Arabidopsis thaliana: one gene and its partner. The protein of the gene in region 1 interacts with the protein of each later gene in a pairwise test. Each region holds a gene or a part of one and is shown on either strand. Other genes may lie near its edges.

What was found. The genes of interacting proteins can lie anywhere in the genome.
Region 2: the proteins of AT4G26810 (region 1) and AT2G17670 interact in a two-hybrid assay, tested with the Arabidopsis thaliana proteins (one large-scale study listed by BioGRID).

What each region holds. Positions count from the first base shown.
Region 1 is NC_003075.7:13,489,057-13,496,874, reverse strand, and holds AT4G26810 (SWIB/MDM2 domain superfamily protein), read left to right. Parts: upstream 1-3,859; 5' UTR 3,860-4,056; intron 4,057-4,089; exon of another isoform or gene 4,090-4,189; 5' UTR 4,190-4,225; coding exon 4,226-4,399; intron 4,400-4,481; coding exon 4,482-4,628; 3' UTR 4,629-4,797; downstream 4,798-7,818. Other genes in the region: AT4G26830 (O-Glycosyl hydrolases family 17 protein), read left to right, coding at 476-1,820, 2,115-2,149; AT4G26820 (GrpE-like protein), read left to right, coding at 2,694-3,422; AT4G26800 (Pentatricopeptide repeat (PPR) superfamily protein), read right to left, coding at 5,417-6,961; AT4G26790 (GDSL-like Lipase/Acylhydrolase superfamily protein), read right to left, coding at 7,726-7,818.
Region 2 is NC_003071.7:7,670,612-7,678,701, forward strand, and holds AT2G17670 (Tetratricopeptide repeat (TPR)-like superfamily protein), read left to right. Parts: upstream 1-3,707; 5' UTR 3,708-3,808; coding exon 3,809-5,200; 3' UTR 5,201-5,665; downstream 5,666-8,090. Other genes in the region: AT2G17650 (AMP-dependent synthetase and ligase family protein), read left to right, coding at 430-768, 853-2,325; AT2G17660 (RPM1-interacting protein 4 (RIN4) family protein), read left to right, coding at 2,748-2,957.

The sequences.
Region 1 (7,818 bases):
TCTTGTTTAAGAAACAATAAAAGTCAAGGTTTTTGTTAGGTTTCTGTTATAACCAAAATCAACTATGAAAACATTCATATGTTAGAAAAACATCAAAATTATAGAGAGTTCCTTTAACTGAAGATTATGGTAAAGTAAAACTTTTTGCTATAAATAGAGCTTTAAAATTATACAGTTTTAGTTAAATCTATTATTTCAGCTATTCTTCCGTGTTATTAGTTATCCCACAACCCCCACTTGGCACTTGTTTACACCTAAATCGTATAAATACTGTAGACCAGCTCCGTCCCAAACGCAACAAAAACTTTCCTTCGTCTCCATAACTATCAAACGACACTCATCTATGCGTTTAATGCTCTGTTTCTGAAGATACACTCGAGAATAACCATGGCCGTTTCTTTCTTACCTTATTTTCTGATTCTTTCCTTCCTCTCAGCCATTGACGCACGTTAGTTTTTAATCTCTTCATATACCTATGTCTGTCTCTGTATTTGCCGTGTCTACTACGTTGTTCTTATTTTGCGTTTTTTTTGTTTTTGTTTCCACAGATTCTGGAATGGTCGGAGTCAATTATGGTCGGATAGCTAACAATCTCCCGTCGCCGGAGAAAGTAGTGAACCTCCTGAAATCTCAAGGAATCAACCGTATCAAAATCTTCGACACCGATAAGAATGTACTAACCGCACTTGCAAATTCCAAAATCAAAGTAATCGTCGCTCTCCCTAACGAGCTTCTCTCCTCCGCCGCCTCCCACCAATCATTCGCCGACAACTGGATTAAAACCCACATAATGCCATACTTCCCAGCGACGGAGATCGAAGCTATCGCCGTCGGTAACGAAGTATTCGTCGATCCGACGATCACGCCGTATCTTGTCAATGCGATGAAGAACATTCACACCTCTCTGGTTAAGTATAAACTCGACAAAGCCATCAAGATCTCGTCTCCTATTGCTCTTAGCGCGCTTGCTAATTCGTACCCGCCTTCCTCTGGTTCTTTTAAACCGGAATTAATCGAACCGGTTGTTAAACCAATGCTTGCTCTGCTTCAACAAACGTCGTCGTATCTTATGGTAAATGCTTATCCGTTTTTCGCTTACGCAGCAAACGCCGATAAAATCTCTTTAGACTACGCTCTGTTTAAAGAAAACGCCGGGAATATAGATTCCGGTACCGGATTGAAGTACAACAGTCTCTTTGACGCTCAAATAGACGCCGTTTACGCGGCATTGTCCGCCGTCGGATTTAAAGGCGTTAAGGTGATGGTGACGGAAACAGGGTGGCCTTCCGTTGGAGATGAGAATGAGATTGGTGCAAGCGAATCTAACGCGGCGGCGTATAACGCCGGACTTGTGAAGAGAGTGTTAACGGGTAAAGGAACACCGTTAAGACCGACGGAGCCACTTAACGTCTATTTATTCGCTTTATTCAACGAAAACCAGAAACCGGGGCCAACGTCTGAGAGAAACTACGGTTTGTTTTACCCAAACGAAGGGAAAGTGTACAACGTTCCGTTCACTAAAAAGTCAACGACGCCGGTCAACGGTAACAGAGGTAAAGTTCCGGTGACGCACGAGGGACATACATGGTGCGTTTCGAACGGAGAGGTAGCGAAGGAGAAACTTCAGGAGGCTCTTGATTACGCTTGCGGAGAAGGAGGAGCTGATTGCCGCCCGATTCAGCCAGGTGCCACGTGTTATCATCCTGAGTCGTTAGAAGCTCACGCTTCGTACGCCTTCAATAGTTACTACCAGAAGAACTCACGTCGTGTTGGTACGTGCTTCTTTGGTGGAGCTGCTCACGTCGTCACGCAACCTCCTCGTACGTTAATCTAATCTCTCCTCTGTTTTTATCATAACATTACATATTTTGCTTTAGTTCAATTCAGAAGTGTATATTTAGCTGTTATTTATGCTTAAAAATTCATTTGGTATGTTTATTGAAAAAAAGAAAAAGATAGTGGCAAATGGTTTAGTAGTTGGCGGTTGTGAAAGTTGAGCTATATTGGGTCATTTTGGCCTTTTAAGATGTTCACGTTTCTGTAAGATCGATATATATGGTGACCTTTAATATTTTTATATAATTCTAACAAAATTATTTTTTCGTTGATTGCAGGATATGGAAAATGCGAGTTTCCCACCGGACATTGAGGCGGAATAGTTGGCAGCAATTTTCTGTGTTTTTTTTTTTGCCTGATTTATTAAGTACATTGTTTGCTAATCGGGAATATATATATATTTTATATTGTGTATAAAATATATTAACTTTGTTGAACTATTTTATATATTTTAATTTAAAATTATATCATCACTAGATTATTCTCAAAATCTTGCATGAATGCTGAAGTTTGACATAATAAACAAAATGAATTTTATGTTGCAAAAATAGTATATTTTATTCTAGTATATTATTATTAGAATTTCAGGGTATATATATTAGAAGGAATAAAATCTTGTATAGTGGATAAAATGATTCTATAGAAACTAAAAGATTCATCTAGTTGAGATTATAGAAATCAATGATTTTATTAATCATTTTATCTATTATATATACAATCAGAAAAAATGATAAAGATTTTAATTATTAATATCTTTAATTTTTATAATCTCTACTAGATAAATCTTTTTCTCTAATTGTTTTGAGATATCATCATATAAACAAGTAAACATTATCAGCACTTGTATAAATCCCAATATGGATGATGAACAAAACCTGGTTGAAGAAATGAATCAACAGCTTCTGATAACCGTCATTGATACCGAAAAAGTCCCGGAACTCCGACCAATATCATCACGGAGCCACCAAGAATCCGAACCAGCTAATATCTCACACTGGTCACTACTTTTCAAACTCTTTCTAGCCATCACGATCATGGGTGCTTGTGTAGCAGGTGTGACGTTTGTCATATTGATTACGCCAACTCCCCCCACAGTACACGTACAATCAATGCATATATCGTTCGCCAACCACAATCTCCCGGTCTGGTCCGCAACGTTCTCTATCAAAAACCCTAACGAGAAACTCCATGTCACGTACGAGAATCCTTCAGTGTGGCTGGTTCACCGGGGAAAGCTCGTGTCGACCGCAAGAGCTGATTCGTTCTGGCAGAAAGGCGGAGAGAAGAACGAGGTTATTGTCAAGAGAAACGAAACAAAAGTTATCGATGAAGAGGCGGCTTGGGAAATGGAGGATGAAGTGGCGGTGACAGGAGGTGTGGTGGGTCTTGATATGGTGTTTTCTGGGAGAGTAGGGTTTTATCCAGGAACTTCTGCTTTATGGGGAGAACAGTACATGTCAGCCGTTTGTGAGAATGTAAGTGCCAAGTTGTATAATGTTGATGACGAGATCTATGGGACAAATAGATCGGTTTTGTCATTCGATGGTCGACTAGTATGCAGTGTACGTCTCCCTAAATATCCTTAGGTCTTAGATATTTAACAATGGTCAATTAGAGTTTGTTTTTGCAATTTGTTAGGGATGTGTGATGTTAGATGACTTACGGCTGGTCAATGATGTTTAATTATGTATGTTTTTTTGTTGATGACAATATTAGTGATATGCTTAATTTGATGACAATCGATGACCTTTAGAAATTAGGCTTGATACATTCATATCCACAAGAGCAGAGAAAACAGTTGTTGTGAGAATCTTAATGGAATAATTATCACGCTGATTTGTTTTGGATTTTCCAATTGATTTTGACAAACTAAACGGAAGAATTGAGATTTTGAAGATTTGGAGTATGACGATTTTGTTGTTTAAACTAAATTATTGCATTACACGTCATCCACAACAATCATTCCAAGTCACAAGGATATATTATTATTCAGCCCAAATGTAAAAGAAAACGCGGCCCAATAGTCAAGTCACAAAGTAACACAATGTAGTCTCTTCCTTGTTCTTAAGAAGACTTTTTGACTCTATCGCAGCTCCAGCGTTCAAACGCGAGAATACCTCCAAGGTCGAAGCGTAAAACATCGCAAGCATTACGGGTTAAAAGCGAGTCAGTTGGTTTACACGGACTTGTTGCTTTCAATTTCCTCTACCATTTCCACGGGTAAGCTTTCTTAAAAAGCTTTTTGTACGTAGGGTCGTTTGCTTTTCATTTGGACGCCACATGCTCGATGAAATTCCCCAAAGGGATTGTCAGTGGTAATTAACGTTTTTTCTCTTTTGCTTTTCCGCGGCAGTCGAATTTCTGGTTTACTCGTGGGTTGAGAATCAGGATGCTGCCCCAGAGGTTGAAGAAGGCTATAACGGATAATCCAAAGAAGCTTGGGAATTTGATTGACCTCGTGAATCTTCCATCTACTCTACGGAACTTTGTTGGTCAATCTCAGATTTCCCGTCTGGGTTGTTTCATGCGTGTCTGGTCCTATATCAAGACCAACAATCTTCAGGTTTGATCATTAAGTTATTTAAGCTAAAGATTTTTTTTTAAAATGTTTTGTCTCATTGACTGATTGGTTTTGTTTCTTACAGGATCCTAAGAACAAGAATGTGGTGATTTGTGATGAGAAGCTCAAGAGCATTTTGCTCGGGAAGCAGCGAGTGGAGCTAGTCGATCTTCCTTCTCTTATCAAGTTGCATTTTCCCAAAGAACAAAAGAAGAATTCTCAGAAAATTTAACTTTTGCTTCTTTGGGGTCGTTTTGTTCTGTGATGCTTAAAGATATATGATTGATACTTCTAAGTTCTGGATTCTGGATTCAATTCTATTTCTGTTTTCTTATGTAAACAGTTTCTCCTTGTCGGGTGGTGCTGTGTTTTTTATAACATCAAAAGATCATCTTTAAGTACTTACACACTTCCACCATATAGTGGGAAAAACTGGTTCTTTTACAAACATTATGGAAGCTTGATTCAAATAATATCAAGCAACCTGAAGTGATCATTGGTAACGAATACAACTCAGAAACAGAGCAAGTTAGTAGAAGAAAGAATGTAGCATGTTAAGGAACATGTTTGTGGTATGGGATACATGAGGAGTCCCAAAATCCATATTTGCTTGCATCCCAACATGTGAAAGGGTTCAATCTATCATCCAAGTAGCGCATCCCCTAGTATCCAGATGCAGTTTGGAAACCTGCAAGAGAATTAAAAACACAGTGAGAAGAATTCTTGATAAAAAAGAGTAATTGATACTCATAAACCTTAGTGTATGTCTTTTGAGGGATAGAAAGCTTATTACTAACCAAATACTTCAGGACTTTTCATGATTCTAAGACCATGCGATTGTTTCCGCTCATTGTTCAGCTCCTTGTTCAACAGTGCGATTGAATTATCTGGACACATCGTGGTATCTTTTGATACACTGGCTTCCATCAAGATTTGTGTTCTTGCATCCGATAAGAGGGAGCCTGTAGAGAGATATCTTTGCAAGCTCCGAGTCTGTAAATGTCTCTCAAGAAAATTCTCCTAGGATACTTCAGCTGGTGCGCTTTCGTTTTGGCGAACGTGCTTTTGGTAAAATCTATTCAAGGCATCTGCTTCAGTCCGCATGCCAGCCCTATTCAATTCTGCGATCATTATCGTGTATGCTTTAAAATCGGGCTCCACTCTTTTGAACTTGAGTTTATAGAACAAATCATATGCTTCTTTCACCATACAAGCCTTGCACATCCCATGAATCATGATAGTATATGTAATAATATCAAGATCATTTCTAGTCTTTTGCATATGCTCGAATCTGCTCAATGCTTTCTCTACCTCCCCATTAGCAAATAGACCAGCTAACACAATGTTGTAGCTCCTAATATTGGGAATCAGACCATTAGAAGTCATATATCCAAAAACTCCTAGAGCGAGATCTATCTTGCCTGCTTGAAAATAGCCCTTGATAAGAGTGTTGCAAGAGACTGTGTTTGCAGCCACGCCTCTTTGAGGCATGTCGTCTAAAAGTTTAATCCCATCATCTACCCTCGACGACTTGAAAAATCCATTTGCAAGAGTACTGTAAGTGACTACATTTGGGGTGCACCCCTTGCTTATCATCAAGTCAAGCATTTTAATGGCCTCGTCTACACGATTGTGCATGCAAAGCCCGTAGATAAGTGAACTGTAAGTGAAAACATTAGGATCTATAGACATTTGGATCATCATCTTGTACACACTATCAACCTTCGACAGTTTCCCACGTTTTGCATATGCATCGATTAATGCACTGAAAGTGATAACATTAGGGTTGATTTTCTTGGAGTCCATTTCGTGCAGTCGTCTCTCGGCGTCAGCCAATCTACCGGATTTACAAAGGCCAGTTATGAGAGAGCTGTAGGTAACAACATTCGGTGAAATTCCTCTGTCTTTCATACGTTTGAGAACCTCCAGCGCGGGAACCACAAGTCTATTTTTGCAAAGAGTATCAATGAGTATGGTATCGACTACAACATCACGTTTGATTCCCATTTTCTCCATTTGGCCAGCCACATAAACAGCATCCTTAATACTATTACTGAGACAGAATCCATTGACCAGCGAGCTAGCAGTCACAATGTCAGGCTCAATACCAAGCTTCATCATCTTCCCAAGATAAGATAAAGCCGAAGAGGGTTGAAAGCAGCGGCAGAAACAATTCACCAAAATGTTACAAGTATAGAGATCAGGTGAAATTTCAATACCTTCAGCATTCTCAATACGTTTCCAGAGATTAATCACAACATCATACATCTGCATCTTAGCAATAGCAGTCAATACTTTATTGAATTCAACAATTGAAGGTAGAGGGTAAGAATAAGCCATGAGTACGAACAAATGAAATGCATCGTCGAACTTAATATTGTGAAGCCCACTTCTCAATACCTCTCGATAATCAATAGTAGTACCAGAAAAAGCTCGTACCCAGAAACGAAATCTCAACGACGGAGAAAGAACAATCCCAGGATTACTGTTCTTCAGAAAATGGTGATGAAGATGAAGAAACCCCTTAGCCGTTGAAGCAATCGCAGTCGCAATCGACCACCGCATCCAATCGTTTCGACTTCAGCTTGATTTGGGTTCGTTCCCAAATTCTGTCTCAGGGATTTTGACCATAAACCCTAAACCCTACAGTGTTGAAGTGTTTGAGACTTGAGAGAACTGAAAGAATTGAACAGAGAAGAAATACAACTTTAACCGGTTTAGAAACAATCGAGCCTTTTTAGGTTTTTGGTTTACAATAATCGAAAACCGTACAAAATTAATAACCAAACGCTTAAAACGGTTCGACGAAACCGAACCGGATTGCACAATTTCGATTCGATCCTCCTTTTCTCTAATGGCATCCTCTTGTCTCGTCCGGAAAGGATTTGTCGAAAATGTCGCATTTGTTATTCTCTCACTGTGATCCCAATTGATTTCTTCTTCATCTTCTTTTATGAACCTGGCTTTCGCATCTTCTTAGCTCTGGGCCATTCCTCCGGTGATTTTGGTGAGCAAAATGGTTGATTTAGTTGTCACGCTGAGTCACAAATGTCAGCTTTTTTGGTTTCTGGCTTCATGATTCACTTCCATTTCTGTTTTAGTATTTTAAAGTTTGATCTTGTCCATTTTTATAACATCACAGTAGCATCTTTATGTAGTCACACGAACATAGAGTAAGAAGAATGGTTCTTGTACAACATTTTGGAAGCTTGATTTGAGTGATATCTAGACAAGAAACTCACAGAAAAAAATATATATGTTGTGGAGGAAAGAATTTAGTAGGTTAACTAATAACTATAGTGCTTGTGGTGTAGCAATTTCTTATTTTATCACTGAAACCGAGATAAGTCGTATTTCAGAACATGATTTGCTACGATGGCGTTTGTCTTCTCTGTTGGGTGAAATGAGTCCCAAAATACATA
Region 2 (8,090 bases), on another chromosome or scaffold:
GAATAATATTTTTTATAAGATTACTATAGTTCTTAATCGTATACCTCGAGAGGGGGAATATGAATATTGTACAAGGAAGATAGATCCACCATAAATTATGCCAACTTGTCTTATGTTTATAGCATATTTCTCTATAGTATTTATATTAATGTCTCTTGTGACTTGTCGCGTACTAAAACTCCTATATGAAATTGCAAGCATTCAATTTAAAAGTATATATATATCCGTTAAATTGAATTTGAAACTTGTAATGTTTTCCATTCAGTAAATCACACACCGTTCGTTAATCACGAGGCAGCACGACTGTCATTATCTGATGAGTTCCCACAACAGAGAATCATCAAACTCGTCTTGATAAACTTCAACAGATACAATAAAGTTTCAATTTTTTTTGAGAAGTCGAACAACAGCCAAATCAAAGTGTTAACCATGAGATTCTTGTTAACCAAAAGAGCATTCAGAATCTTCAACCCACGTTTCCAGAGACTGTGGTTAACTTCTTCTCCCTTCTCCTCAACCTCAAATTCCGGCGGATTTCCCGACGATTCCGAGCCGGAATCATGGAGAACTATAGAGGGTCTTCTCCGTTCCCCTGCAAATTTCTCTCCTTTATCTCCAATCACGTTCTTGGAGCGATCCGCTAAGGTTTACAGAGACAGAACCTCTCTTGTGTTTGGTTCCGTTAAACACACTTGGTTCCAAACTTATCAACGTTGTCTCCGTCTTGCCTCTGCTCTTACCAATCTCGGAATCTCTCGTGGCGATGTGGTTAGTCTCTTTAAATTGTTCAATTTTCTGCTCTGATTAGGGTTCTCGATTTAGGTTTAGTGATAAAAGAGGAAACTTTTATAGGTTGCAGCTTTAGCTCCGAATGTTCCAGCTATGCATGAGCTTCATTTCGCTGTTCCTATGGCTGGTTTGATTCTTTGTCCGCTTAATACTCGACTTGATCCTTCCACATTGTCGGTTTTGTTAGCACACTCCGAGGCCAAAATCCTCTTTGTTGATCATCAGTTACTTGAGATTGCTCATGGAGCTCTTGATCTTCTTGCTAAATCAGATAAAACTAGAAAAAGTCTGAAGCTTGTGTTGATCTCTCAGTCTAATGATGATGATGATAGTGATGAAGATAGCTCATCTACCTTTGCTTCAAAGTACTCTTTTGATTACGAATATGAAACTCTGCTTAAATCCGGAGATAGCGAGTTTGAGATAATCAAACCGAGATGCGAATGGGATCCTATTAGTATAAACTACACTTCAGGGACGACTTCGAGACCTAAGGGTGTAGTGTATAGCCATAGAGGAGCTTATCTCAATTCTCTTGCTACAGTCTTTCTTCACCAGATGTCTGTTTATCCGGTGTATTTATGGACAGTGCCGATGTTTCACTGTAACGGATGGTGTCTTGTTTGGGGAGTAGCAGCTCAAGGTGGTACTAATATCTGTCTCAGGAAAGTCTCTCCTAAGATGATCTTTAAGAACATTGCTATGCATAAAGTGACTCACATGGGAGGAGCCCCAACTGTGTTGAATATGATTGTGAACTATACTGTGACTGAACATAAACCGCTTCCTCACAGGGTTGAGATCATGACAGGTGGGTCACCGCCTCTACCGCAGATCCTGGCTAAGATGGAAGAATTAGGTTTCAATGTGTCTCATCTTTATGGTTTGACAGAGACATACGGTCCAGGGACACATTGCGTGTGGAAACCTGAATGGGATTCACTTTCGTTGGAGGAGAGAACTAAGTTGAAGGCTAGACAAGGAGTGCAGCATTTGGGTCTAGAAGGGCTCGATGTGAAAGATCCGCTGACAATGGAGACTGTCCCTGATGATGGTTTAACCATGGGTGAGGTTATGTTCAGAGGAAACACTGTGATGAGTGGATATTTCAAGGACATAGAGGCAACACGAAAAGCTTTCGAGGGAGATTGGTTCCACAGTGGTGATCTCGCTGTTAAGTATCCAGACGGGTACATAGAGATAAAAGACCGGTTAAAAGATGTGATCATCTCAGGAGGAGAAAACATAAGCTCAGTGGAGGTTGAGAGAGTTTTGTGCAGCCATCAAGCGGTTCTTGAAGCTGCTGTTGTAGCACGTCCAGATCATCACTGGGGACAGACTCCTTGCGGTTTTGTAAAGCTGAAAGAAGGATTTGATACCATCAAACCCGAGGAGATTATCGGGTTCTGTCGAGATCATTTGCCGCATTACATGGCTCCAAAGACTATAGTTTTCGGGGACATACCTAAAACCTCGACGGGGAAAGTACAAAAGTATCTTCTGAGGAAGAAAGCTGATGAAATGGGTAGCTTGTAATCGCCATGTAAGAAACAAAAAAGCTTAGTCTCTGGTTCATGTGTGTATGTAAGGAAACAAAGATCAGAGAATCATAAAACCACCGCGTGAAAATGAAGAAACAGATCAGCCATGGATATGATTTGGCTATAATTAGATTTGTTACGCGGAAGGCCAACGATTTTGTTATTTTTGTGCCTCAGAAAGATTTTAAGACATTAAAAAAAGAAAGAAGTAGCCAAAAGAATATTCCGCCGTGTCTGAAACGAGTCCATTTCGTAGGAAGATTTCAAAGCACAATCTTACTTATCTGTTTTCTCTCTTCTCTCCATTATAAATAAATCTGCATCCTGTGTTAGAATCTTTAAACAAAACCATCTGACTTATCAACAACAACAAGAGGACGAAGAAGAAGAAGAAGATTGTTACTTTCTTGATCGATAATGGCGTCGAATGAAGCTGGAAGGGCATTGCCGAAATTCGGGGAATGGGATGTGAATGATCCAGCGACGGCGGATGGATTCACGGTGATATTCAGCAAAGCCGGTGAAGATAAAAAGACGGGACGGAGTTCGACGAAGACGAATTCACAGAGGAAACAAGATGGTGATAAACCAGCGGTCAAGAAATGGCTCTGTTTCACTTTTGCTTAATCTTTTTTTTTTGTTTGTTGAGTAAGTTTTAATCCTAAGAGAATGTAGCTTTGAGCCTTATGAGCCCTTTGACAACTTTTGTGTTAGAACATTTCATTTCGTTTTTAGTTATCTAATAAAACAAATTCTGAGGTTTTGTTTCTTAATGATAAATCTCTGCATTTGGTCATTTGGAAATCAACAAAATTGTAGTTGTTGATTAAAGAATTGCAAAAGTCATACAAAAAAGGTCTCTTAGATATTGAGGTGAACACAAACTCTTGAACATGTTCAAAATTCATACAAAATGTGTTCTTCCTTACAAAACCTTTCTTTAATCTCTATTGATTTGGTCTGTAGAACAATGTTCTTGTATGGGGTTTATTGAGAAAACACAGAAGATCTTTCGGTTCTTTAGAGAACATTTTGCGGAAAGATTGTTGTTTTTAGGGCTTTGCCCACAAACTTGTACAGAAAGCAAAGAAAATACTGTGTTGAGGCCTTGAGGGAGAGAGGCTATCGCACAAACTGACTTTGGGCTACCATTCAAAAGCCCAATAGGCCCAATGTATTTCTACGGTTTTTCCTATTCGCTAACGTAAGCAACAGACTACCATGCGCCGTCCTCTGTCCATTTTCAACACAACAGACAAAATGCATCTTCACCCACACTTTGGGCCGATATTAACAAGCCCAATAGGCCCAATGTCTTGCCACGGTTTCTCTCATTTGCTAACGTAAGCAACTAGAGTACACGAGTGTAACTACTATACGCCGTCCTCTGTCCATTTTCAACACAACAGAGTCACAAAAACCTCTGCAAGAACCCTAAAGCTAAAACCTTTTTGCGATCAATCGAAAGAAAACAAAAAATGGGGAAAGTTCCGTCGTCGTTTCGTAGTATGCCGGCGAACTTATTGGTCAGAAAAACAACACCATCTCCTCCAGCGCCGCCGCGAGATTTTCGCAACAGAACCGCCGTGGGAGGAGATTCAGCCAAACTTCCCCAGAATACTCAAGCCCCTCGCGAGCCCTCCTTGAGGAATCCATTCAAGTCACCAAATCTCTCAGACGCTAAAAGCCTCTTCAATTCAATCGCCGCCACTTCACGAATCCCACTCGATCTCAAGTTCCACAACTCTGTTCTTCAATCATACGGTTCAATCGCCGTCGTCAACGATACGGTGAAACTCTTTCAGCATATTTTGAAATCGCAGCCTAATTTCAGGCCGGGACGTTCAACGTTCCTTATCTTGCTTTCACATGCTTGTAGAGCTCCTGATTCGTCGATTTCGAATGTTCATAGAGTTCTTAATCTCATGGTTAATAATGGTTTAGAGCCTGATCAAGTAACTACCGATATCGCGGTGAGGTCTCTTTGCGAAACGGGTCGGGTTGATGAAGCTAAGGATTTGATGAAGGAGCTCACTGAGAAACACTCTCCTCCGGATACATATACTTATAACTTTCTACTGAAGCATTTGTGCAAATGCAAAGATCTTCATGTTGTTTATGAGTTTGTTGATGAGATGAGAGATGATTTCGATGTTAAGCCGGATCTTGTTAGCTTCACTATCTTGATTGATAATGTTTGTAACTCTAAGAACTTGAGGGAGGCAATGTATCTAGTTAGTAAGTTAGGTAATGCTGGGTTTAAGCCGGATTGTTTCCTCTATAACACGATTATGAAAGGTTTTTGCACACTGAGTAAAGGGAGTGAGGCGGTTGGTGTGTATAAGAAAATGAAGGAAGAAGGTGTTGAGCCAGATCAGATTACCTACAATACTTTGATATTTGGACTGTCGAAAGCTGGTAGAGTTGAGGAAGCTAGGATGTATTTGAAAACTATGGTTGATGCGGGGTATGAGCCGGATACTGCTACTTACACATCACTGATGAATGGAATGTGTAGAAAAGGTGAGTCTTTAGGTGCGTTGAGTTTGTTAGAAGAAATGGAAGCAAGAGGGTGTGCTCCAAATGATTGTACTTATAATACTTTGCTTCATGGATTGTGTAAAGCAAGGTTGATGGATAAAGGGATGGAGTTATATGAAATGATGAAATCAAGTGGTGTAAAGCTTGAGAGTAATGGTTATGCTACACTTGTGAGGTCTCTGGTTAAAAGTGGCAAGGTCGCAGAGGCTTATGAAGTGTTTGATTATGCAGTTGATAGCAAGAGTTTGTCAGATGCTTCTGCGTACTCTACACTTGAAACTACCTTGAAATGGTTGAAAAAAGCTAAAGAACAAGGCTTGGTTCCATAAATGGTATCCTCTAGCTGAGCTTTACCGACTTTCTTCTTTATGCAAGTCCATATTTCATTTTTGAAGTAGTGTTACTCCAAAAGCAATGAATTTGTTTCGAAATATGCTGTTCGATTCTTAAGGGACCAGCAGTGATTTATAATAGTAACTTTGTTGGTAATATTATTGTCACTTGAGATTTCTAAAGGTTTCCTTAACACTCGAGTTATTGATTGGGTGAAAGTTGTTGCTGTGTTTCTATATGAACAGTCATATTCTATTATTCTGTTTGTATCAGCTTCTTGCCTTCAGTGTCATGTACTCTGTTCTTATGAGCTATTGTGAATACCATAATTGGTTATTGATCTTGCCTTGGGTTGTTGCTTGAGAGATCAAGCAAATAATATTTGCTTTGACAATTGCAATATCTGTTTGGGGTAAATGAGGCAGAGTATCTGAGTAAAGATTGTTTCTTGTGAACAATTTTGGTTATTGATCTTGCCTGGGATTGTTGCTTGAGAGATCAAGCAAATCATATTTGCTTTGACAATTACGCTATATGTTTGGGGTATTAAATCAGGCAGAGTATCTGAATAAAGAGATCGTTTCTCTTGTTTGGCTGCAAGAAGAGACTATTATCTTCTTGAACAATCTTTTCTTATATGCTCTGTTTTAACACTAAGCAGCCCAAGTGCAGAGTATTTGTGAATTATCAGTTGAATTACAAAGTACAAACCAAATCATTGAGGGGGACAAGAAAACAGAGGACAACGTTAATGGAATCATGAAGAAGATTTATAAGTGGTCAACATTCTGGTATTAGTCTATTTCATTGTTTATGACCAAATTCTAATCATTTGGTGAATAAACTCTTTTGTTTATTTTGATTTCTCTTCTGTCATGTTTCATTATCTAGTGTATTTTGCTGCAACATCTGTTTCTTTGTCTCCCCCATTAAACAATAGAACGCTACGGAAATAGATACATATTAGGAAGAAATGTACGTACCGCGAGGTCCACGAATACATGATTCGCCTACCATCATTGTGTAATCTATCGATTATCATAGCCTCCAGCTTTTTCTTTTAGTATAAGTTACTCCTAGCTGTCATGTTCTTATATATATCTTGCATATCTATGACTATGTACTCTAGAGAATATGAAGGAAGCAATAATAGACAATTATGGAGACAAGATGATAAGAATAATCTGAGAGCTTGCCGTGTTCGTGGTCACAGAGAGATAATTAAACAATGACAATGGTGCAAAGATCCTCATTTTTTTAAGACTTTTAATATTTAAGACAGACACAATTGCTCAAGAGCTTAATATAACTCTTGGAGTTTCCATTATGAGCTAGGTTGCTTATGAAGAAGACTAGTCATTCAACGTAGAGACTCTGTTGAGCAGTATAATTCCGTGAGTGCTAAAAAAGATGTAGCTTTTGTAAAGAAGACATGATTTTATAGTTTCAATCCAATCATATATCTTCTAATATCGATTTATAATTTTATAAATGTAGCGTATAATTAATATTTATAACTAAAGAAGTAAAGAGCATAGCCAAGAAAATACTAAACTCAAACTATATATCACGCCACAATTATAAATCACTTTTGTTTTTTTGCTAATCCCCTATGTGCAAATTAAGTGATGTATAAGGTTATTATACACACATCTTAAATAACTACGTGAATTAAATATTTATCCTGTTTGTGTTATAAATTATAAATTATTGTTTAAGAAAGTATTTGATCAATAACAAAAAATATATGATTTATAACACAAACAAGATAAATATTTAAAAATATATTTCTTAGATAAAAAGAATGAGAACATCACTTAAACAAGATAAATATTTAAAAATATATTTCTTAGATTAAAATAATTTATAGTCATCAAATAAATTACGTAATAACTAAAAATTGTTTTCTTTCTTTCTTTTTTTTGGCTCGACAAACAAATAATATCCGCTAAACTATCATATGTAAACCAAATTTTGGGTAATATCAGAATTTTATCGAAAGAGGATTATGTACAGGATATGAAATCATATATGTTATCAAAATTAAACTAAAAAAAGTTTTAAACTTTAAATGTTCCGTTGTGGTCTAGGCTACTACCTAGTTTTTTTTTTTTTTTTACAGGCTACTGTCTAGTTCATATCTTAGAAACTCGCGTGTCATTAATATCTTAGGAGCATCTCTATTACAAAAGATACCACGTAAAAGCTTTTATGTTGAACATTGAAATTGTAACCAAAGATAGAGGATCAATGCAAATCATCATGAACTTAAGGATATACTCTGGATCGGATGCCAACCTACACCAAAAAATTATTATTATTTTCTTTTGTCAAATATTTAACGTACAAAATAAATTTGTCACAACAAGAGTCGCAGATTTAACATAGTCGAGCAAAAAGACGGAGTGACAATATTATAAATAAATAAAAATCGTAAATAAATTGATTTTTTAGCTATATTGGAATTAAACAATAATGCATTTCTATAATATTATTTTTCTTTACAAAACAATAAAAACATTTTACAGCAAAATATTACTCATATAATTTATATTTTTAAATGTAATTCGAGTAATTAAATTCAAAATATGGGTCATTCTAATAAATTTTCTTTTGTTTATTTGCATAACAAAGTATTATTACGACAAACTTTTCTATCATTTCTTATATAGTATAAGTGAAAAATGCACCTCCCATATAATTTATTTATTTTTCACAAAGCACATGCTCTTTAATTTGTAGCTACATAAATATAGATCCCATAAACTTTTACAATTGAAAATTTGATTCCGTAACTTCTACATTTAACATTATGCATTAGTCTTATTCATAATATGTAAATCTAATTTTTATTTTACTAGTAACAATATTTAATGATTTCTTAAT